Ovis aries: one gene and its partners. The protein of the gene in region 2 binds, or shares a complex with, the protein of the main gene of each other region. Links are inferred from orthologs where the notes say so. Each region holds a gene or a part of one and is shown on either strand. Other genes may lie near its edges.

Region 1 (7,991 bases), on a different chromosome or scaffold from region 2:
GCATACTAAAAAGCAGAGATATTACTTTGCAAACAAAGGTCTGTCTAGTCAAGGCTGTGGTTTTTCCAGTAGTCATGTATGGATGTGAGAGTTGACTGTAAAAATATCTGAGTGCTGAAGAATTGATTTTTTGAACTGTGGTGTTGGAGAAGACTCTTAGAGTCCCTTGGATTGCCAGGAGATCCAACCAGTCCATCCTAAAGGAAATCAGTCCTGAATATTCATTGGAAGGACTGATGCTGAAGCTGAAACTCCAATACTTTGGCCACCTGATGTGAAGAAATGACTTACTGGAAAAGACCCTGATGCTGGGAAAGATTGAATGCAGGAGGAGAAGGGGACAACAGAGGATGAGGTGGTTGGATGGCATCTCTGACTTGGTGGACATGAGTTTGAATAAGCTCCACAATTCAGTAATGGTCAGGGAAGCCTGGTGTGCAGTAGTCCATGGGGTCGCAAACAGTCAGACATGACTAAGCGACTGAACTGACTTTAGTTTATTAGGAGCAGAGTCTAATACACAAAATCAATATTTTTATATCTTGATGAGTTTTACCTTCAGTTTCAGCTTGAATCCCACTTCCTTAGAGGCGAATTCTACACTGATACATTTGTAGGAAAGTTAAATAAGGAGATGGATTCTGAATTTGAGTATAAATCTTAACTGGAAGTATATTTTATGTAAAATTTATCACAGAGACTTTATACCATCAAATGTTTCACTACCCTCTTTCCTTTTTAATTAATGGAAGGATAAATAAATTGTGTTAACTCATGTTGCTTATCTGAATATTTTTAAAAGTACAGTATTGCTCCTAAATCAATAATTAAGGTTTGAATATAGCAAATGAATGTAAAAACGCTCTGTGATATAACATGAGATGTTCTGTTACATTACAGTTAATGAGAGTTATTCTCAGCAAGACAGGGTATTTAATCTCATTAACAAATACCATAAGTTGGCTAAATATGGAATGCCTTAATGAATGGTTTACATCTTTCATGTGAGGGACTTATGAGTCTGTTAATGTGTCTTGATTATTAGATATATTAATCTAAAACAAACAAATAAATGCAAAATGTTTGTCTAAGTGCTTTTTGCCCATTAGAGAAAAGGGACACTGTAGAGAGCTATTTGATGCTGCCAGATGCCATTAGTTATAAAAAATATAACTGTAAATATTTGACTTTTCCTCTGAAGGTTTCAGATTGCTATGGTGCAAATAGTTGCTTTGGAGACAATTTGACTCTCCAAGTAGACTGTTTCTTTCCACTTTACTGAAAAACAATTTTAAACATTTGTATAAATAGTAAAAATATTTGTACACCCCAATGATTGATATCTTTATAAAAATAAAATATTGTAAAATATTTTTAAACAAAATAATATAACAAAGAATGATTTTAATTAAAAAAATTTGGAAACAGTACTCAGGAATCGCTTCTGCATGGCGTTCACAAGATTCGTACCACTGATTATCTGAAATAAGTTTTTTTTTCTAATTATGCTTTGCAAGTTTTAATTGTAACATAATTATTCCAGGGGACCTGTAAAAGTGATCACATCCACAGACAAGCATTGACTCTTCTGGTGTAATAGAAACATAAAATAGAGCTTCTATGCTTGATGAATTTATACTCCAGCCGGTGACTGAGGAACACCTCCAGGTTTCTGCGTCCTTTCCCACGCATATATAGAAGTGCTTTTTAAAATAAAAAGACTTATTTAAACAGAATACAAGTAAGAACTTTGATATAGTAGGAGTCTTATGTCCTCTTTCCTCTTGATATACATAAAAGGATATACATATGTATATGTACATTGTATTACTTGATAATTATGTAAAATTAATGTATATATACATATACATTAAAAATGATACTGTGATGTTTACAAGATAGCACATAGAAAAATCAGGAATAAATGGTTTTAGAATTAAGGAGTAGAGCGCCAGTATTGTCATTGTTTCAATGATGGGAGAAATTAGATTTCATTAGTGAGGGGATTTGAGGGTGGGAAGGTTTACTTTGGTTCTACTGAATGCTTTTATATATTAATGAGGCCAAATTGAATATAAAGATAATAGGTTAGATAATTTGCTTTCAGTTCAAAACATGAGAATTGAAGCAGAGTTATTACAAGATTTTATTGTTTTGAACTTTGACAACTTAATCATTAGATATAGAACCCATATGACTTTCTTGGTGGCTCAGCTGGTAAAGAATCTGCCTGCAGTACAGGAGACCCGGGTTCAATCCCTGTTTCAGCAAGATTCCACTCCAGTATTATTGCCTAGAAAATCCGATGGACAGGGGAACTTGGTGGGCTACAGTCCATGGGGTCACAAGAGTCGGACATGACTTAGTGACTTAATTACCACATAGAACTTTAGAGTCCAGAAGGGAAAACTTAGTCAAGGGTTTGAACTATCACTGAATAGGGAAAGCTACAGAGAATTTGATTCATCTGTGTAAATAAGATGTGATAGAGAAGTTCAGTGACATATTGTTGGAACCAAATGAATCCAGATGTATGGGTAACACTGGAGATGAATTTATGCAATTGTGATTGTCTTAGGATATTAAAAGATGTAATAATATCACTAAAGTACTTTATATATCTTCTTCTATAATGTTACCCTTTCCTCTTTATGTAGCCCATCACTTTAATTTAAAAATAATTCGTATATTGAAAATATCTCTTCTTTTGAAATTTTATTCAAACATAGGGGTTCTCTGTGTATTGTGTTACTAGTCCTGTGCCATGGTTCTCAGTACAACAGGGACATAGAACATACTTGCCGGAATGTTTGGTGTTCCCTCTCATCTTTTATTTGTTTTCTCTATGTCCACTTATTACTTTCACTCTTGACAAAGTCTCAGATACTCCAGAGCGTTAGGGAAGTTGCATTTGGTGGTTTCATAAGAGCTGACCCCTACATCTTTCTAACTTACCAGCCTCTCTTGGTAGTTACTTGTAAGTGCTGTGGGTGTGAAGCCCCAGGAATTGGGCATAAAGAGAGAAAACATTTCCTTTCCTTGGAAGAGCAAATAGTGGGAATCTTATAGTTGGTTTCTGAGATACTCTTGCCACTGGGAGCAAATCAGACATGGTAAAAGAACACATAGATACAAATAAGAATATTTTGTTGTGTGAAAGATTCACAATTCTGAAATAAAATGGAGTGCTTTTGTGTATAATGAAGAGCAGGAGGAACATATAACTATGATTAAATTGAAGTTCTTGTTTTATATTCTTTCATAGGTCTTTATTTTATCTCAAAATCATTTATTTTCTAGGCACTGTGACATGTTTAGAAAATGCATGATATATAAATTATATTCATTCTTTCAGTTCATTGAACATTTATTAAATTCATAGCTGTGGTTAAATAGTGTACTGAATTTTGAGGGAATAAAAAATAGAAGAGACATAATTCCTGACCTAAATAAATATTTAAATATCCTAAAAGGATTTAAATGGAGTATTTTTCAATTATACAGATAGTATTCAGAAACCTGAATAATATTATTAGTATCTTTAAAGTACTTTATCATTACTCTCTAAATAACTTGACTAATTGGTTTTAACAGTATAAGTAATTAAATAACATATTAGTGCTGATACCAAACAAAATATTTCCAAACAAAATGACATAAGTCTTTGTAAGATGTAATTAAATGATTTCTTCCATATTAAAAAGTTGATATTCAGAAAATAACTAGAATATAATAAAATAATAAATGTCCATGAGTTTTTTTAATAATAAAAGATTACTGACATAGAGAAATTGAGTCATCTAATAAATAGTTGTCTCTCTGCTTAATAAAAGACATGCAATAAAATCCTAAGCAAAAAAGTAAATATTTACAGAGTACACATAAAATCAATTTCGAAACACATTTTCGTAATAAATCTCCCATATGGTAATACCCTTGAAATTAAAGTTTGAGAAAAGTAAATACATCACTGTTGGAAAAATAGCAGGGTTTTAAAGGCAAAAGGAAAAAAGGATATTACCTAACAACAGCAACTTTACAGTTCTTGCATCTCGCTCAGCATCTTCCTGAAGCTTTTTCTCCAATTCTTTTGATCTTTTGGCTGACTCCTTGCTCTCTGAACTAATTCCAATTCCCATCTTGTAGTGGTAGATGCTTGTCAGTTTATTTGCTCAAACTTTTTGGAATGTAGAGCGCAGCTAGTGCTCTGGTTTAGACATAGGATGTAAGAGCAATGCTCTGCTGAAGTACCCAACAGCCCATTCCCTCATTTTCTAAGACTCTGCTTTGACTAAGGAGATGCTATCACCTGACAAAGGGTAAAACCACACAGTTCTATGGCAGCGAAAGAGAAAATTCATTATACTTTCAAATTAAGTGGTTACTTCTGGCCCTCCTTCAAACCTACTCATCTTCCTTAAAGAATAGTATACAATAATGTAGAAAGTTATGAAAATCTGTACACTAAAGATCTGAAATGGACAATTCAAATAGTGTTTATCACTAATAGGCAATCTTTATTGCAAGATTTAAAGTTATAATTACTAACGAACAAACGTGTCTTATCTTTAGGTATACGAGTCTTCAGATTCTTCATAATCATTATGATATCACTATCAGAATATTCATATGAATCACCCAGATTTATAGTTTTGCTATGCTTGGATTATAACTCAAAATGATTGAGACATTCAGTATCTGTCAGCTAACTAGAAAACCTTTTCATTAAAAAAAAACACATAGTTCTTAGATCTATACACATTGCTGTGTTGCCAAACATAGAATTTAACACACAGTGCTCTTAAATTATTTATTTTTGTCTCATAGGATCAATTTCTATAAATTGAGCTTCTACTGCTTGTGAGAAAGTCAATCCATCACCATTAATTGAGGGTCTGCTTGGTATAGACACTGGAATGTGTTTGATTCAGGCAGTGCATTAACTGGGGCCATTAAGGAACAGCTGTTGTGCTGGAAGGACTTTTATTGATTTGGTACTGAGGGAATAAAAAGCAATATTCTTTGTAACAGTAGGTGATTTGGTTTTTCCTGAAAGGTAAGAACAGTAAATATACCTAAATACGTTCCATGCCTTTCGACTACCCCAACAGACATCATGTCCTTCTCGACAATCTGCAAGTCTGGAGACAGATTCTGTTATACAATTTTTTTGCTTGTTTGTTTATATGAAGCATAAAGCACTTAGATAGTCAAGTGATGTTTTCCTCTTAAGCAGAGTTGGCTACCTGTGGCAGCAGGCAAATCTCTCAGTGCACATTTTGGGATTTGTGGACATGCCTAACAGAGAAATATTAGAATACAGGCAGTCGATCAGCATGTTAGTGCTGTTCTTGTGGGATCGTGGACAAACTCTGAACAGGTGTATTTTTGCATATTCATAGAACAAGGAAATAGGCTGCCAAATTTAATACATAGTCCTGCTTTGTTTACTTTTCACATAAAATATTAGACTGTCAATACATAAGCATAGTCAAAACTTTCTGGATTTCATCTGCCCAAGCCATGTTATGATAGTATAAAGATGTGGAAAGGTAGGTATGCAAAGCATGTGATGTTGCTTTTAAAATGCAAAAGGCTTGCCCCAAAGGAACAAGATTTGCACTGACTGGTTTATTTATACTTGCTCATGGACACCGAGTCCATCCACACTAACAGCAATGCAAAAGAACACAAACATTAAAATCTTTTCCTTTTTGTTTTTACGTCAAAATTGACTATAAAGTACCTTGAATATAGAAGACTCTTGTGTATTCCATAGCAATTATGAATAGATAAGGTACTTTCTATACCTGCATTCAAGTAGATATACTCCCTATTTTTTTGCTGGGGACATACTGTGGCTTTGTAAGGGTATGCAATTTACTAAGACTTCTACGTGGGCTTCTGATGAAAACCGACCAACTCTTCCAGGAGTATAATTGTATATTTTCTGTACTGTATACAGTTACAAAATTCTACTTTGCTGTGTGACTCAGAATGTTTTATCTTCAAATTTATGAGATTGTTATGTGATTTTTTTTTCATTAGCTGCTAAAATAATCTTGACATTAAATTCAAGGTGTATCTATATTTAGGGGAGGGAAGCTGGGGAGAGCCAGAGAGAAGAGAAAGGCTTCTCATTCCTCTCCCTTGGGTGCCTGGAACTCAGCTTCACTAATGAGCTGTGGTTGTTAATATAGCTATTAATCCATGTTGCTTTACTTATCACTCACTATGCTTTTCTGGACCTAAGAAAATTATGGAAATAAAATAGTAAATTCTGTTAGAATGAATACAGTATGTTATTAGCTTAGGTATCCTCCATTGTATTTGGCATAGTGCTAACTATTGGAAATATTCAAAAATTATTTTTTGTTAGTACATTGATAGAGACCTGGGACCTTTTGTGTGTGTGCTCTGTTGAGGTGATAACACAGTTGAATATTTCCAAGGTTCAGGGTCATGATGGGTCTGTCTCAACACCCTTGAAATTTTAAAGTGACTCAAAAAATCAACAAAAAGACCAATTTTAGTCTGTGTATGTGCACTATGTCGCGTCAGCCATGTCCGACTCTGTGCAACCCCTATGGACCCCAGCCTGTCAGGCTCCTCTGTCTGTGGGATTCTCCAGGCAAGAACATTGGAATGGGTCACCATGTCCTCCTCCAGGGGATCATCCCAACCCCAGGATCGAACCCACGTCTCTTATGTCTACCTGCATTGGCAGGTGGGTCCTTTACCACTAGTGCCACCTGTGAAGCCCAATTTTAGTCTGAAATAGTGTTCATATCTATGATTACAACTGTTAGCCCAATAAGTACATCTTTTTTTTTTTTTATCAGCCTTAAAAATAACACCAGCATACTCCCTTTCTATTATTAAACCTTGCTCTGTAGTGAGGGAAAATTGATAAAAATGACAACAGGAAAAGGTAACTAAATTAGATGTTTTTGTTTAAGGAGCTATGTGGCTATACATTTTGTTCCTTCTTTAAAATAAGAAACATAAAGCTGTCCAGTTCAGTTCAGTTCAGTCGCTCAGTCGTGTCTGACTCTTTGCAACCCCATGAACCACAGCATGCCAGCATCAGGGTCTTTTCAAATGAGTCAGCTCTTCGCATCAGGTGGCCAAAGTATCCTATCATATTAGAGTTTTATATAGTGACCAACTAAAAAAGGTAGATTGCTGTACATATACATACACACACAGAGAGATATACGTACATTGTGTGCACAACCCACACACACAGAGAAAGAAAGAGACATTGTATTGGAGAATCATGGTCTTTTCAAATAATCATTGCAAAATAGCTTCTAAGAACATTGTTGCCTTTTTAAAAAAATCACAGTATCAACCTGATCAGGAATATCTTCTGTGGGAACAGGCTGTGCAATAAAGAAAACTGAGGAGGTAAAATACAGAGAATGAGTCCTCAGCTTTAAAAGTCACTGACACAGCTGTGTATAACGGACTTCTGGACTCAGAGGGAGAGGGAGAGGGTGGGATGATTTGGGAGAATGGCATTCTAACATGTATACTATCATGTAAGAATTGAATCGCCAGTCTATGTCTGACGCAGGATACAGCATGCTTGGGGCTGGTGCATGGGGATGACCCACAGAGATGTTATGGGGAGGGAGGTGGGAGGGGGGTTCATGTTTGGGAACACATGTAAGAATTAAAGATTTTAAAATTAAGAAAATAAAAAACTAAAAAAAAAATAAAAAAATTAAAAAAAATAAAATAAATAAAAGTCACTGACAAACCACAAGTTTGAGTGATGTGGTGATTTTTCTTCTTGCTGTTTTTGGTCAGGTTCTCTGTTGAATCTTCAGACTGGCATATTAGTCTTTAAAACATTTGAATAATTGCTGTTTTACATTTATGTTTTAACACCTAGCTTGAGATATCCTGAGATTGTTTCCCATTTGCTTTTAATATTGAGAGTCCAACCTACATTTCTGGAGAGGTCTCTTTTGCCAGTATTACTG
Region 2 (7,865 bases):
GTGACTTTCATTTTCAACTCTACCGTGGGCGGCAAATGCAATCAGGTGACTGGGGGCCAGGCCAATCAGAGGACGAATGCCCATCCCAGCCTGGTGATTGGCTTAGGAGCTATCAGGTGACCCAGGCCTGGCCAATGAGAGCCCTACCTGGAAACGACTGACAGATGGAGAAGAGAAGCCCCATTTCTGCAGGGTTTGCTGAGCTTGGAATTACTGGTGATTTCCATGCTTACATCTTTGGAACAGTTAACCTGGCATAAAGGCATTACTTTGTCAATAAAGGTCCATCTAGTCAAGGCTATGGTTTTTCCAGTAGTCATGTATGGATGTGAGAGTTGGACTATAAAGAAAGCTGAGTGCCGAAGAATTGATGCTTTTGAACTGTGGTGTTGGAGAAAACTCTTGAGAGTCGCTTGGACTGCAAGGAGATCCAACCAGTCCATCCTAAAGGAAATCAGTCCTTGGTGTTCATTGGAAGGACTGATGTTGAAGCTGAAACTCCAATACTTTGACCACCTGATGTGAAGAGCTGACTCACTGGAAAAGACCCTGATGCTGGGAAAGATCGAAGGCGGGAGGAGAAGGGGAGGACAGAGGATGAGATGGTTGGATGGCATCACCGACTCGATGGATATGAGTTTGGGTGAACTCCAGGAGCTGGCGATGGACAGGGAGGCCTGGCGTGCTCCGGTTCATGGGGTGGCAAGGAGTCGGACACGACTGAGCGACTGAACTGAACTGAAAGGCAACACAGAGGAAAGTGCAGCCAAAGGGGGACCTAGAAGCCAGATAACATGGACTTCCCTGGAGGTCCAAGGGTTGAGTCTCCCCTGCGGGTGCAGGAGCCGTGGGTTCCATCTCTGGCTAGGCTCCAGGGCAGTTGATTGGATGAGCCACAGCTACTCACTGAAGCTCAAGTGCCCTGGAGCCCGATCTCAGCAACAAGAAAAGACACCGCGATGAGGAGCCCGAGCGCCGGAGGGAAGGGTGGCCCCCGCTCACTACAAATAGAGAAAGCCAAAGCACAGCAAGGAAGACCCAGTACAGCCCCCTCAAAAGCCAGGTGACCTCATCTGAGCACCTGCACCCAGGCATGCCTGAAGCCCTGATTTTCATTTATGGGAGCCAATCGTGTCTTCCTTTTGCTTCGGTACTATTGAGTGTGGTTTCCTGCCTCCTGCAGATAAAGGAATCCTGACTGACATCACCCACCTAGGGAGACGGAGTAGAGAGGGGCAACAGCAGAGATCCCAGCTATTACCTGCCCCAGCCCCTCCATGACAAGAAGGATCTCCCTTCTCAGACTCCTGCTGCCTTTTCCCGCCTTGGAGGAGGATGGTCATTCGGGAGCTACCCCTTCATCCCATTCCCCCTTCAGATGAGGTCCCTGGTAGGGCCAGCCCGGAGCTGAGGCTCCAGTAATGCAAAAAAGCCTCTCATCATCTGCTGAGCTCAGGAAGCACGTTGGCTGCATAAAGCCTGAAATCTCATAAAGGTCAGTTTTAAGATCCCCTTTTGCAGATAAGGAGGCTTCCAAGAGGTGACAAAATTTGCCTGCAGTTTCACAGGCCACCTGGATCTCTGTGACTCTGAGGTTGGAGCTTTTCCCATTCCTGGGCTTGCACTCCCAGGGGGCTCTGATAGTTGCTCAAACCCAGAAACCCCAGGGTTAAGGATCAGATGAACACTGCCCCGTTTCTACCCATCCTGTAGATAAAGAGCTTGAGACTGACAAAAACCACCACCACTAACACCAAGGATAGGAGCCGAGCTTTTAATACCCCAATTTGCCTTCATCTCCAGGCAGAGCTGGGGAGAGGTAGAGCTTCCCGCTTTGGTATGTAGTTGAGGAGGGGCATTTATGAGGCGGCTGGATTCTGATGTCCCAGAGTCCCAGCCAGCCTCGCAGCAGCAAGGACTCTCTGGAGTGGAGAACGGACTGGAGCCGCTGAAGGCTTGCCCAGCAAGGGAGCTAAAATCTGTGATCTGTGAACTTCCCTGGGGGAAGGTGGGTCCAGCTGGATTTCCCACACTTTTGTTTTTTAAGCTCTTTTTGAGACAAAGGTGATGTTGGGGACCCAGCTCTTCGTTAAATGTGGGCAGGTGAACATAACTTCTAGAAGCTCCATACGGGCCCAGAGATGCTGAAGCCTGGGTGCTGGGCAGGAGAGCTAGTGGTTTTTCAGATGCCGAGAGCAAGACCTGTCTCTCTGTGGGTTGCACTGGAAGGGAATGGCCCGCGTCATGGGGGCTCTGCACTGGCCCCAGACTCTGGTCCTCTGATGTTGTTTTCTTGTGTTTTTGTTTTCTTCTCAGGCCTGATGACTGCACTCTGCATTTCCTTGACTGTCCTTCCCTGTGGCCCACCACCCAGCGCTGGTCTGGCCTTGCTGTCTGTCTAATGTTTATAAGCCTGATGAGGCTGGATGCTTAGGGCTTTGCCCAATCTCAAAATGGTCGCTATCAAGAGGAGATGATCATAGGAATGAATTACTTATATTAATTGATATTATTCATAATGTTAACTACAGTCTGTCCAGCTCCTTACTATTTACAAAGAGCTCACACACGCAAGCACACGTGCACACACACACACACACACACACACACAATCTCATTTGATCTTCCCAGCAGCCATGTGAGGAGAGATTTGGAATTCCCATTGTATGGGGGAAGAAAGTGAGGCCCAAGGACAAAACAACTGCTCAAGGTCATCAGCCAAGGGCGAGCTGCTGCTGCTGCTAACATGTTATGAGAGAATGACTATGCCCTCCCGACCCGTTCATCTCTCCATCCACGTCTCCATTCATTCCTTCCTTCCTCCACCTAGCATTTATTAATAAGCACCTACGGCGTGCCCCGTCATGTGCTACTCACTTATCCCTAAGCTGGGACACTTTTCCAGAGCAAGAGCTCTTGTGTAGCTGAGAGATGAGCTGAGGGGAGCGGAGCTACAGTGGGCCCCCGGGAAATCAGGACTCCAGATCGGGCCGCCCCTGCCAAGTGAGGCGCCTCCTGTTTCGCTCATTGATTCGTTTGCATTTGGTTGGTTGGTTTTTGTGTTTACACTCAGGGAGCCTGTGAGAGCTGGTTCCAACAGGCGCGGCTCCGGATGGAGCTGCTGAGGCTGGGGTGGGGTGGGGGCTGGGGGACTCCTGCGGCTGGCCATGGAGTCCCTGGAGGGGCTTAGGCAGGCGCCACCTGGCTGGTCTCTGTCTTGGAGACGGTGGTGGAGGCCTCGTCATCACCCAGCGGGTTCTTGCCACAGCAGAGGGTGGTAAGCATGCAGTTCCGGAACTGGAAGGAAGAGGTAGGGTTAGGGTAGGGGTGCTCAGGGTCCCGCAGAGTCTGGGTGGGAAATGGCATTGTCAGCGCGGTGTGCCATCTCCCTCTTCTGCCTCTGGCCCTCCCAGCCTCCGATCCCCGGTCAGATGGCTGGGACCAAACCCGAAGGGACTCTGTCACTGGTGACGTGCCATGATGCCCTCAGTGTGCCAAGAGCCATCTGGAAGTTATCCCATTGAACCCAAGAGTTTAGGATTTCATCCTTTCCATGGATGAAGAAACTGAAATCCAGAAAAGGGAAGTGACTTGCCCAAGGCCACACAGCTAAAACCTAGCACAACTGGGATTTGAACCCGATCTGTCTGACTCCAGGTTTTCCCCACTGGACCAAAGAACCTGCAGAGGAACCTCTGGTCTATGTTAAAAGGACTGCTTTATCCCTTCATCCCTCAGAACGAGACTTTTTGGCATCCTGTCCAGCTTTGTGGAGACTGGCACCTGTTCCCAGGCCCGGGACTTTGACCGTCTGGACTTTCAGAACCATCTGGACTGGCGCTTCTCTTTCCTAAGCCAGTGTCAGAGGGCTTGTTAGAAATGCATATTCCTGGGCCCACCCTGAGCTTCTAATCAGAAGGTCTGGGGGTGGGTCCAGGAATCTGCATCTCTCCCGGATGACTCATGATCACCCCAGGGAAAACCAACACCCACCCACCCACCCCGCCCATTTTGCAGGTGGAAAGACTGAGGCCCGATTAAGACTGCGGCTTCTCCACCTGTCGCCTCGGGGGGAACCTGGCCCCTTCCCACCCCACCAGCAGGCACCTGCTTGTTCATCATGATGTAGATGACGGGGTTGTAGACGGAGGAAGACTTGGCAAAGAAAGCCGGGATGGTCATGAAGATGGGGCCAAAGTCGGAGCCCTGATGGGTGAAGATGTAGAACGCCACCCCGGCGTAGGGCAGCCAGCAGATCAGGAAGGCGATGACCATGATGATCACCATGCGGGTGACCTCCTTCTCGGCCTTCTGAGTGGTGGCCGACTCCTGCTGCTGGGCAGCCGCCTGCGGGGACACAGGGCCCGGTGTCCAGACTCGAGGCTCCTCTGGGCCGGGGGCCGCGCTCAGCCTCATCAACGCTCTTGTCCCCAGCCCCACAGCACCGGTCCCCCAAGGACCCTACCTCCTTGACGGTGAACACCAGCTGCCCGTAGCAGAAGAATATGACGATCAGGGGGATGGAGAAGTGGACCACGAACATGTAGATGACGAACGACTCATTGTTGATCTCCGGCTTGAGCGTGTAGTAGTCAATCCCGCACGAGCACTGCATGCCCTCCGGGATGTACCTGAGGCCCGGGAGGGGCAGGGGCCGGAGGGGCAGGGGGAGACCCGCGTGTGAGGGACCGGGGAACAGGCCCCGCTGGCCAGAGTCCTCTGCCAACGCCTGCAGCAGGGCTGCCCTCACTCTGGGCCTCACTTCCCCCCTCTGTAAAATGGGGATAATAAACCTTTCCTTGGCTGTGAGGCTCACATCTACTGAGATAAGGGATCCAAGTGTGTGGAAACAGTGTTGTTGCCTCGTTCAGCGCTGTGTTACCCTGGGACCCTGGTCTCTCCCAGTCTCTCACTCCCCGCGCCCCTACTCTGCCCCCCTGCTTCCCTGCCTGGCGCTTCTTCAGCCGGCCTACCACTCCCAAGTGGCTGGAGGCCAGGCCTCGGACCATGAGGTAGGTGGGGAGAAGGGAAAAGCTCCCAATGTCTGTATTGCAGGCACCCAGGTCTTTTTAGGCCGCTCAGGGTAATTAAGGGATTTTTGCACAGTTTCTGGAAACAAGAGGCCCTGGGGCGTGTGGTTAGGGCGTGTGATTTCAGAGGACGGTGACACTGAACCGACCCCAGGAAACCCACTGTCCATTAGCTGCGTCTACGAGGATGTAACTAGGCCAGACTGGAGAAGATAGGGAGGGAGGGGCAGGGTTTTTTGCCCTTTGCTAAATTGCTCAGGAGGGAAAACACTGGCCCCAGGAAGACTGAGAGAGAAGGAGAGGGGAGAGAGATGGCAGTTTCCTGGAAGCAGAAGGGCACGAAGCCTCTGGGAACCCACAGAGGCCAGTTTCCCAAACCACGTTCCACCCCACCGCCATCTCATCTCAGCCCGTTGGGGGATATCAGCCGAGAGTCTTGCCAGGACTGGCTCCCAGGGCGACACCGCCACACCTGCATGAGGGAGGCTCTGCTTCTGCAGGGGCGGAGGCCTGAGGTCAGAGGAGCTGCTCCCGGGGCACTGGACTAAAGAGGATTGGAATCTGGCCTGGCTTAGTTGGGGATTAGGGGCACAGCCAAGGTGAAGGGTTGGGGCGTCTTGGAGTCTCCTTGACACGGGGAGCAGCCCCGTAGTGACGTTAGGAGCTGACCCTCTTTTCCCTGCCCTAAACCTCAACCCTATGACAGCTGCCATCTCGGGGGGCCTGAAACCAGGCAGCACCGGCCCCCCTCCGGCTGGAGGACCCTAGGAAGCACCCCGGAGACCCTCCTCCCCCCCTGCTCAGGGCCGTTACCTGGACCAGCCGACCAGGGGGGGCGCGGCGCAGGCCAGAGCCATGACCCAGGTGAAGGCGACGCCCATGATGGCGTGGTTCTCTCCGAAGCGGAAGTTGCTCATGGGCTTGCACACCACCACGTACCGCTCGATGGCCAGGACCACCAAGGACCACAGGGCGATTTCACCTGCAAGGCGGCCACTGTCAGCCAACCGCCGCGTGGCTGGACCTGTCTGTCTGAGGAGGAGGTGTGCTCCTCCCGGGGATGGGGAGGGGGGCCGACAAGGAAGGCACCGGGGAGCAGTCCTGGAGTGCAGACTTAAGGAGCGGAGGGTCTGGACACGGACGAGGGGAGGTGGCAGGGCAGACGGGCCGATACACCACATGGAGGAACTCCCAGGAAGGTTAGTGCAGCCAGAGCTCCGGGTTCGCGGGGAACATGGCAATCAGCTCGCAGGGTCATGGCTGAGAGCTGGGAGCCCGGCGGGCAGTTTTCACAGAACAGTGTGTCCTTTGTGGGGCCACCGGCAGAGTTCCAGGCACAGGGGATGGCAGAGGCAGCAGGAGCCAGAGGGGGAGGCCTCCCTTTCCTCCTGGGCAGCGGGCCTCTCACCACCAGGGACATGGAACACCCTGGGCATGGGTGACCCTCTCTCGGGAGCCAGGGACCCGGAGAGTGTTTTGCTCAGAGGGAGGAGGAGGAATGATAATGATGGGGTTCAGACATCTGCCCTGCACATCACCCCCAGAAACTCAGGAGGGAGGTGGCCGTGGGGTTTACCAACCGGGGCATTTCTGAGAGTGAAAGGGAATGCTAGTGGGTACTCCAGGCCCACGGTTGTCGCAGAGGCGTGCCCACCTGTGGGCGGCACCCTTCTGGCCTGAGACTGGGGGATCGTGGTCATCCAGCAATGGCCAGTGCCCCAGGAACAGGGCTGAGGCAGGGCCTGGACACACGTGGGATAGAGGAGACAGAGCATCCTGTGGCTGGTGCGGGCTCTCTCTGCCCCCAGGCTTTGTGACAATGACCTCCCGCGTCTCCTGCTTGCCTGAGAGGCCGTGTCCCCACCGGGGGACACTCCTGGGTCTGAGCCAGGAGGCCCAGGCTCTGGGCACTGGCCTGCCACGTTCCTGAGTCAACTCTTCCCCTCTGCACACTGCAGTTTTCTTATCGGCTAAATGGAATCTATTCACCCATTTTTTAGTGAAAATATTTTAAAAGCATGGCTCCCAGCTACACAGATCACCTCACCGGGTCTACTGTCTCCCTGTGAATGGACTCCTCAAGGCAGAAAGCCTTCAGGCAGAGCAGAGAGCCTGGAGGCGAGCTGGGATGGAGTCAGAGAGAAGCCAGGGAGGGACCATGCCCGGCGCCCAGTGCAGGCAGAGGCCGGTGCCTGGAGGACTGAGGACTCTCATCCCGCCCCAGGCTGGGGCCCTGAGCACAGGCATCCGTGTCCAGCTCTCTGTCCCCGGGACCCGGTGTGGGTCTCGCCCAGCCCCACTGCTCCAAGAGGAGCAGAACCGTGGCCTGAGGGGCCGCAGAGACATAGGCTTGCAACTCGGCCTTGCCAGAGACTGCCTGCGACCCCAGCGAGGCCCCAGACTCCTCTCATCTGTCTCCTGGCTGGAGGGCAAGACAACGACCCCAGTGCCAGTGAGATCACATGCTTGGCGCCCGCCCTCCACCAACGCCGGGCAATCTCGTCATTGCTTATACAGCGTTTATTGACTGAGTGAGGGAGGGCTTTGGCTCACGGGCTCTTGTCCACCATCCGCAAGGTTGAGGCTGTCCCCACACCCCCACCCCTGCCACACCCAAGCTCCTGGCTCCTGAATACACACACACCCCTCGCCCAGCCCACCGCACCCAGCTCATACCGCCCAGGGTGGCAAAGAAGCCTTCCAGGTTGCAGCCCGTGGGCCCAAAGACGAAGTATCCATGCAGAGAGGTGTAGAGGGTAGTGGTGAAGCCCCCGAAGACCATGAAGAGGTCGGCCACGGCCAGGTTGAGCAGGATGTAGTTGAGGGGTGTGCGCA
Region 3 (7,973 bases), on a different chromosome or scaffold from region 2:
CTGCAGGTGCGTAGCCACCAAATGGGGATGCAAACAGCCAGAAAGAGTCTTACAGGACCAGACTCTAAAGATTCCAGGAGGATGTGGAAGCATCTGAAACAGGATGAAAGGCCTGCAATTAAGGGGTATGTGGTGCCCTTGTCCTGTACCAGGCGCCAAGCTAAGTACATGGGGCACATTATTTCATTTAATCCTCATGACTACCTTATGAGCTAGGGATTAAGCCCGTTTTATGGAGGAGAACACTGAGGCTCTGGTTGCATTGGCAGCAAAGTGGAGAAGGGGTTGGCGAGAGGAAAGCCAGGTAGGCAGCTGAAAGTGGTCGGGAGGAGGGCGAACTGAGGAATGAGCAGGAAGGGAGAAGATAGGGGGACAGAGAATGTCTTCCTCTTTTTCAAGCTTTGGCTGTGAAAGAAGGAGAGCTAGAGAGGAGACAGGGTCAAGGGACATTTGCTGTTCTTTTTCTTGTGTTTAAGATGCATGAAGTCGGTCCTTGTTGTTATGCTTAAGCTGGTACTGGTAGAGAAAGAGAGATATCCCCAGAGGGAGGAGGCTTTGGGACAGGACTCAGAGGAGGTGGTGGGCCACGACCCAGGCTGTAAGTAGCATGAACCTCAATGGAAACAACAGCGCGTTCAGTTCAGTTCAGTTCGCTTGCTGCAACTGCAAGCGATGGGAAGAGACAGGAGCAGGTGGGGAAAGTGGGGTGGATGAGGCAAGGCTCCAGCCCGTCTGCTGCCTACCCATCTGACAGCCACACGCACCATCTTCCTGGATAACAGTCACCAATCATCGCATCCAGGGCCCACCATCCCCAAGCGGTTGTGTTAAGAAGGCCACCCCAGAGGATCGTTCTTTTTTCCCCCTAGTTTTACTGAGATATAATTGACATATTGTTTAAGTTTAAGGTGTACAATATAATGATGTATGTGTAAATCACAAAGCTATAGCCACAAAGCTATAAGCCGAAACTGAAACTCCAATACTTTGGCCACCTGATGCGAAGAGCTGACTCATTTGAAAAGACCCTGATGCTGGGAAAGATTGAAGGCAAGAGGAGAAGGGGACGACAGAGGATGAGATGGTTGGATGGCATCACCGACTCAATGGACATGGGTCTGAGCAAGCTCCGGGAGTTGGTGATGGACAGGGAGCCCTGGTGTGCTGCAGTCCATGGGGTCGCAAAGAGTCGGACACGATTGAGTGACTGAACTGAACTGAACTGAATAGCCGCAATAAATTTAGTTACCATTCATCATGAAGGATGACTCTTGAATGGCCTGCTCCTATTCTTTTGGCTCAGGATGGGCTGAAGGTGGGCATGTAATCAGTTTTGACCAATGAGGTAAAGACGAGTCTGCTGGAGAAATACCTCCTCACCCTTAAGAGACCTCAGGAATCAACAGCTTTTTCCTTCTGGAAGGAAGTGAAGGTGAGTCCCCTGAAGCTGGGGCAGCCGTCTTGCCACCAGCCGGAGGGTGAAGGTGGCAGAAGACAGAGGAGTGGCGAGATTTGGAGAGAAACTGGCCCAGGGCCCTGGCACAACACGCCCGAGGCCAGACAAAGACTTGCAGTGGGAATGACCCTAATACGGACAGAGTCGTGGATGAATTATACTTTCCTCCTAAATACAAGAATTCTAAGTTTTCCAGGTCAATGGAGGTCTAGCTAGGTGGGAGTAAGGAAAAAGTGAGAAAGTGGTAATGCCCAGCAGGAGCGGTTTCTCTCTTCTTTTGCCGGAAGTCAAGATAAAGTTCACTGGAGAGACACAAGTTGGAAGAGAGCTGGGAGGGTGAAAGACTGCGGGGTACCTGACTTGTCACCCTGAAGAATCAGAGGACTGGATGGAAGTATGGAGATCTTCAGGGAGGAGAGGGGAAGAGGAGAGGGTCTGTGCAGAGCCCGTGAGGCATGAGAAGCTTCAGAGAGTTTCTTTCAGGCCCAGTGTAGGCTTCAGGAGTCAACCAGAAGAATGACCTAGGTCCACATCCTCCACTATTTATCTACTGGTGGCCACCAACACTTGAAATATGGCCACACCAAACCGCCATGTGCTGTGAATGAAGAATGCACACCAGGTCTCAACAACAGAAAACAAATTTAGCACATGTCATCAATCTTCATTGGAAGGACTGATGCTGAAGCTGAAGCTCCAGTACTTCAGCCACCTGATGCCAAGAGCCGACTCATTGGGAAAGACCCTGATGCTGGGAAAGATTGAATGCAAAAGGAAAAGGGGGTGACAGAGGATGAGATGGTTGGATGGCATCACTGACTCAATGGACATGGGACTGAGCAAACTCTGGGAGGTAGTGGAGGACAGGGAAGCCTGGCATGCTGCAGTCCATGGGGCTGCAAAGAGTCAGACCTGGCTTGGTGACTGAACAAACAACAAACAAGTGTTAGCAATGCTTCTTATACCATTTACATGTTGAGATGATAGTTTTGTTGTTATATTGGGTTAAATAAAATGTAGCATTAAAATGAATTCCCTGTTTCTTCTTACCATTTTAACATGGCTAATAGAAAATTTTAAAATTAGAAGTGCAGCTTGCAATGGGTGGCACAGAACTAGACTGTCAGCCCCTGAGAAGCCATCAAGCCGTGCAAGGAGACACCATCCACAGAGGCTGTGGGGCGGGCCCTTGACTGGGTCTCCCCATCCACAGAGGCTGTGGGGCGGGCCCTTGATTGCATCTCCCAGGCCAGGAAGTTCACAGGCACGTCTAGCCCACCTACTGTCCCCCTGATGGAGCCAATAGTGGCATCACCTCTGCCGGGTATGCAGGGTGCCAGGGTATCGGCCGCGCAGCCACAGTGAGCACTGTGGAGCCTCGGGAGATGCGCCCTCATCCAGCGGTCCTGGGAGCCCTGAGCTTGGCGCCTGGGGTGGGTGCCAGATGGTAGAGAATTGCATGACCCAGCATCAGCGCTCTCCCCAGGCAGGTAGGCAAGACGATGGAAAAAGGCCCAAGTAAATTATAGGCGTTACCAAAGCAACGTCTGAAATGTAAGTCAGGGGTTCAAGGCTAGAAAAAGAAGTAAAATTGGAGGAGAGGGATTGGGCACCGAGAGATCAGGAGAAAATGAAAGGTCCTGGGGCTGAAGTCTTGTTGAGATTGAAGAGAAGTACTATTTCGGCAAGTCATCCCTTTATATCTCATCTATCATCCCAGCAGACAGGGATGGATGACACTCATATCGCTTCCACTGACCTCACAGGGTTTTGATATTGATCCCATCTATTCGAAAAGCTCCTTAAAAAAATTCATCACTCAAGCCCCTCACATCTGCCCCACTCACCGATTTATCACGGGAGATCTTCTTGTAGATAACGTGGTTTGGTGCGGGCTTATTGGTCTGCATGTTGGCTGCTGTGTTAACGGTCCCTGGCGGTTTCTTCCACATTAGGGTGTACGTCAGGTGTTACAGGGCTGTGGAAAGGTAAAGCCATCCTAAATATAACATCTAGAACATTCTCGGAATTATACCTACTCATGAGATACTGTGTATCCATTAGGCATTTCCTTCTACCTCGATATCCACGTTTGACTTGAAAAGGCCTTTGTCTGGTTTGTATTTCACTACAGTGAGCTGCCTTTTTTTTTTTTTTTTAAGGTATTTATTTTTTCCTGATAAGCGTCAAACACTTCTTAGTAAGCCTCACCAGCAAACCTCACTTCTTAGTAAACCTCACTTCAGACAGATTCCCACGAGAAGGTTTTACTTTGAGACTAAGCCTTGCTATCGTCACAGTAAGCCAGATTGATTTTAAAATTCTATCTTGATGATATATCATGGCAATTAAGGTAGAAAAAGTTCCTGCAAACCACAACCTAACCACTTCATGAATATCATTTGAAAAATCCGTTAAATCCCCTAAAAGTCCTGCTCAGCAATTCACACTAAGCAGAGTTCTCTCTCACTATCCCCAGCTCTACCCACAACAAAGAGGCTGTCTGAAATTCAAAATGCCTTCTGAGTTTCCCTAACAAGTAATGTCCATGGAAAGTAACTGGGTCAGACTGACTGCACGAAGATGCCAGTCTCCCCGGTCCTGGCTCTTTCCTGGCCTGCCCCGAGGTTCTGAGAAGGCTTTGCTGGAGGATGGTCACGTACCTTGTGCGACCAGCCGGGAGGGCCCAGGAGGTGGGGAGAAGGTGTGTGTGCCCTCCGGGGTGAGCAGACGGCCAACCCCTGTTCTGTCTACCCAGACAACTCCACACGGGCCCTGGCTGACCGCTCAGGGGGATTTGTAGGGAACTGGGAGAGTGTGCCCCACACCCACATCTCAGTGCCTAGAAGCCAAATCCCATTGAAGGAGCAGAGTGGTAACTGGATTAGTGCTGAGGCGGACGAAATGGTAGCTTCAGCAGTTCTCAGCATTAGGCAAGGGCCTCTCGGTCTCCCTCCAGAGGGGCTCACGGTGGGCTCACAGGAGCCAACTGGCTTGAGCGGGGAAGGGAGGCGGGGGGGGGGGGGGGGGGGAGGGATGACAGCTAGTAGACTAAAGCTACTTTCTATCTTAACCCACTTTGGGTTCTGGAAATAGACTGATTATCCCTTCCTCCTGCTATCACCAGGAGAAGGGATTTTCCAGAGCTCAACCAACTTGATTAAACTCAGCAGGCAGCTAATGCAACCTTGGGGGTGGGGATAGAGACAAAAAGGTCAAGGAGAAATGTCAACCTCAAGATGAATCCTGGTGTTACGCAAGCCAAACGGGTGCTGCCCTTCTCCTCTTCCCCGTGTCCTATCCATTAGGTCATGAGTCCTGTCAGTTTTGCCCCTGGCGTCCTCTGAATCCTTCTAGTCCTCCAGCCTCCGCAGGGTCCACACCAGCCCCTTGGCTTTCCCAGACTAGAGTGTCTCCTGCTGTCTAAGTACATCCTTCCAAGCCCTGAGTAGCCACCCTCCAGCTTAGCATCTCACCTTGCTCTCAGCTACAGGCACAGAACCTTATTTTTGAAAAAATTATTTATTTGGCTGCACTGGGTCTTAGTTGCGAGATCTTCAGCCTTAGTTGCAGCACATGGGATCTAGTTCCCTGACCAGGGATCAAACCTGGGCCCCTGCATTGGGAGGTGGAGTCTTAGCCACTGGACCCCCACGGGAGTCCTAGGCACAGAACTTTAAAGTCACGCACTCCAGCCTCTGCCCACCCTTCCCCATCTCCCTGCAATGCACACCCATCATTGCTTCTGTCTGGAACCACCCTCTTCTCCCACACTCCTTGATTCTTTCCACCCTTCAGACTCTGGCTCAAGAGTCACTTCCTCAGGGGAGACGTCCCCCACCTCCAGACTAGGTTGGAGGCTCTTCTGCATCTGATGCTTGTCTGCAAGATAATTTCATGGTCTCTCATCTCAGTCAAGGCTGTGGTTTTTCCAGTGGTCATGTATGGATGTGAATTGGACTGTGAAGAAGGCTGAGCGCTGAAGAATTGATGCTTTTGAACTGTGATGTTGGAGAAGACTCTTGAGAGACCCTTGGACTGCAAGGAGATCCAACCAGTCCATTCTAAAGGAGATCAGCCCTGGGTGTTCTTTGGAAGGAATGATGCTAAAGCTGAAGCTCCAGTACTTTGGCCACCTCATGCGAAGAGTTGACTCATTGGAAAAGACCCTGATGCTGGGAGGGATTAGGGGCAGGAAAAAGAGGGGACGACAGAGGATGAGATGGCTGCATGGCATCACTGACTCGATGGATGCGAGTCTGAGTGTACTCCGGGAGTTGGTGATGGACAGGGAAGCCTGGCGTGCTGTGATTCATGGGGTCGCAAAGAGTCGGACACGACTGAGCGACTGAACTGAACTGATCTCATATTTGACTCTAGGCTCCACGAGGTCAGGGACCCCACGCTGTTTTGTTTATCTTGTTTATATTCCAGTGTCTGGAATAGAATATTCAGGGAATGAATGCAGGGGATAGTGTGGTCACTAACATGCATGTGTTTTGGACTTGAGCTGGTGTCTCGAAATGAAGCCAGTCTAAGCAGAAAGCCAGTTCTGATGTTTGGGGTGTTAGTATCTACTGAGATACCCCAGTGGCTTCCCGCCTAACCCCTGCATGATCTGGGTCCCCTTTCCATGACTTGCTCACTTTGCTCCAGTCAGCTGGCCTCTTTGCTTTTCTCCAAACCTGCCTCAGGGCCTTTGTACCTACTGTTTCTTCTTCTGGAACACTTTTCCCACAGTCACTCGGCTCGTTCCTTTTACTCCTTTAGGTCTTGACGTCGCTGTCACCCTGTCCATCTGTATCCTGGTGTACCACCCCATCCAACACTTCTGTCCTCCTCCTCAGCATTCCGTTCCTCTGTAGCACCTGCCACCATCTAACATAGAGGACAACTGATTCATTTGTTTATCGTCTGTCCCCCCTCCAACCACTGTTAGATTGTAGGTTCCAGGACTGAAGAGATTCTTGACTATTTAGTTCCTCTCCCATCTGCAGTGTCTAGAATAGGGGCCTCAATAAGCTTGGAGAAAATCAATGAGTCACTGGATTGCAACAGTATGCTGGCTGGCAACAGCTGAAGTTGGAAAAAAATTTCATTTCTATGAGAATAAAATTTTTAAAATATATCTAGATCTATAAACAGATCTAGTTCCTTAACCAGGGCTCAAACCAGGATTGCCTGGGAGCAGGGAGTCTTAACCCTTGGACCACCAGGGAAGTCCCAACTTTTAAAAACTTTAATGGAGGAATGTCAGCTAAGAAATGTAAAGAGAGTGATAGAATTAGAAAAACACCACTTGACAAACTCTGACTGTATTAATTGTGCCTTTTTATTTTCTATAATTTTGATGCTTTGACATCTGAGGCTTTGCTGACCCTGAAGAGACTGCCATCCCAGGCTAGTTTTTTCCCAGAGTGACTGTTTTTCACATCTGTATCAGCCCACCCAGGATGTGAACACACCAAAGGCCTCCTTTCCTGCTTTGCTGGGGGGTCTCACACTCTGAACCATTACTGCCTTGCCCCCGTGACTCATCCTGGGGCCAGGTGTCAGACAACTAGAGACAGCCCCTGCACCCCAGAGCCCGCCTTAAGTCCGCTTATCTTGTCTCGCCAGTTCTTTCTCAAGGAAACCACAAAAAACCTCTTGCCCATGTTTTCTCCTTGATCCTTCTACCGCCCAACTGGCCCCTGGTGCTTCCATGGGCGGCCTGCCCCACTTTGAGGAACTGTAAGTAATAACCTATCTTTTCAATAACAATGTCTTCTGAGCCACTGATCTCACCAGAGCTGAATAACAGTAAAACTTAACATTGTAAAACACTGATGACATTATTGACTCAGATGAGGATTCTTTACTGGTGTCAAAACCAATATGTGAAGAGTTGAAGGGGAAATGTCTGTTCTTATGACACCAAAGTGATGCCATATGGATCAAGACTTCAAGGTGCAAGCCTTTTGCAACCACATAACAGGGGGACCAGGCGTGGTCTGAAGTCAATCTTAGCATCTCCAAAGTGTCAACCACTGTGATGTATGATCTTAAGACAGCTGGAATCCATCAAGCCTTTAGACATCACTTCTCATTTGTAGGACATACAAAGAATAGCTAGATGAGACCACAAGAAAGCTACCAGATGAATGTAGAAAGTGGCTGGTATCTTTTATAAGTCAATGTCCTAGAAAAGAGATGCATTGGATTAAAAGACAGTTAAGGGACTCAACATCCAGATGTACTGTGTGGTCCCCACTGAATAAACAGGATGTAGAGACATTTTGGGCCCACTGGGAAAATCTGAATATAATCTAATAACGTGTCAGTAATATGTTCGTTAGGGCTTCTCTAATGGCTCAGATGGTAAAGAATCTGAATCCCTGGGTTGGGAAGAGCCCCTGGAATATGTTTGTTATTTGACCTCAGACAGGTAGCATGGAAATTACTGGGCGAGGAAGGTAGAGACCGTGACTGAGCAAAGGTCACAGGTGTGTGTAGTATGATGGCATTTTGCAAACAC

The links.
Region 1: the proteins of RHO (region 2) and GNAT3 are in contact, whole or in part, in a crystal structure (PDB 4A4M), measured with the Bos taurus proteins. The link is inferred for Ovis aries from reciprocal best matches to the Homo sapiens genes RHO and GNAT3. Residues at the interface, in NP_001014890.1 of Bos taurus: Leu72, Arg135, Val138, Val139, Lys141, Thr229, Val230, Ala233, Thr242, Thr243, Lys245, Ala246, Glu249, Val250, Asn310, Lys311, Gln312; in NP_001103452.1 of Bos taurus: Ile344, Asn347, Leu348, Lys349, Asp350, Cys351, Gly352, Leu353, Phe354.
Region 3: the proteins of RHO (region 2) and SAG are in contact, whole or in part, in a crystal structure (PDB 4PXF), measured with the Bos taurus proteins. The link is inferred for Ovis aries from reciprocal best matches to the Homo sapiens genes RHO and SAG. Residues at the interface, in NP_001014890.1 of Bos taurus: Arg135, Val138, Val139, Lys141, Leu226, Glu249, Val250, Met253, Met309, Asn310, Lys311, Gln312; in XP_010802144.1 of Bos taurus: Asp71, Ile72, Met75, Gly76, Leu77.

The regions. Positions count from the first base shown.
Region 1 is NC_056057.1:42,062,582-42,070,572, reverse strand, and holds the start of GNAT3 (guanine nucleotide-binding protein G(t) subunit alpha-3), read right to left. Parts: upstream 4,338-7,991; 5' UTR 4,140-4,337; coding exon 4,022-4,139; intron 1-4,021. UniProt on the Homo sapiens protein: Guanine nucleotide-binding protein (G protein) alpha subunit playing a prominent role in bitter and sweet taste transduction as well as in umami (monosodium glutamate, monopotassium glutamate, and inosine monophosphate) taste transduction.
Region 2 is NC_056072.1:56,172,497-56,180,361, forward strand, and holds the end of RHO (rhodopsin), read right to left. Parts: coding exon 7,707-7,865; intron 6,013-7,706; coding exon 5,844-6,012; intron 4,632-5,843; coding exon 4,466-4,631; intron 4,348-4,465; coding exon 4,108-4,347; intron 3,298-4,107; coding exon 3,187-3,297; 3' UTR 1,761-3,186; downstream 1-1,760. UniProt on the Homo sapiens protein: Photoreceptor required for image-forming vision at low light intensity. Required for photoreceptor cell viability after birth.
Region 3 is NC_056054.1:7,671,189-7,679,161, forward strand, and holds the start of SAG (S-arrestin), read right to left. Parts: upstream 4,338-7,973; 5' UTR 4,120-4,337; exon of another isoform or gene 3,435-4,119; 5' UTR 3,409-3,434; coding exon 3,304-3,408; intron 1-3,303. UniProt on the Homo sapiens protein: Binds to photoactivated, phosphorylated RHO and terminates RHO signaling via G-proteins by competing with G-proteins for the same binding site on RHO. May play a role in preventing light-dependent degeneration of retinal photoreceptor cells.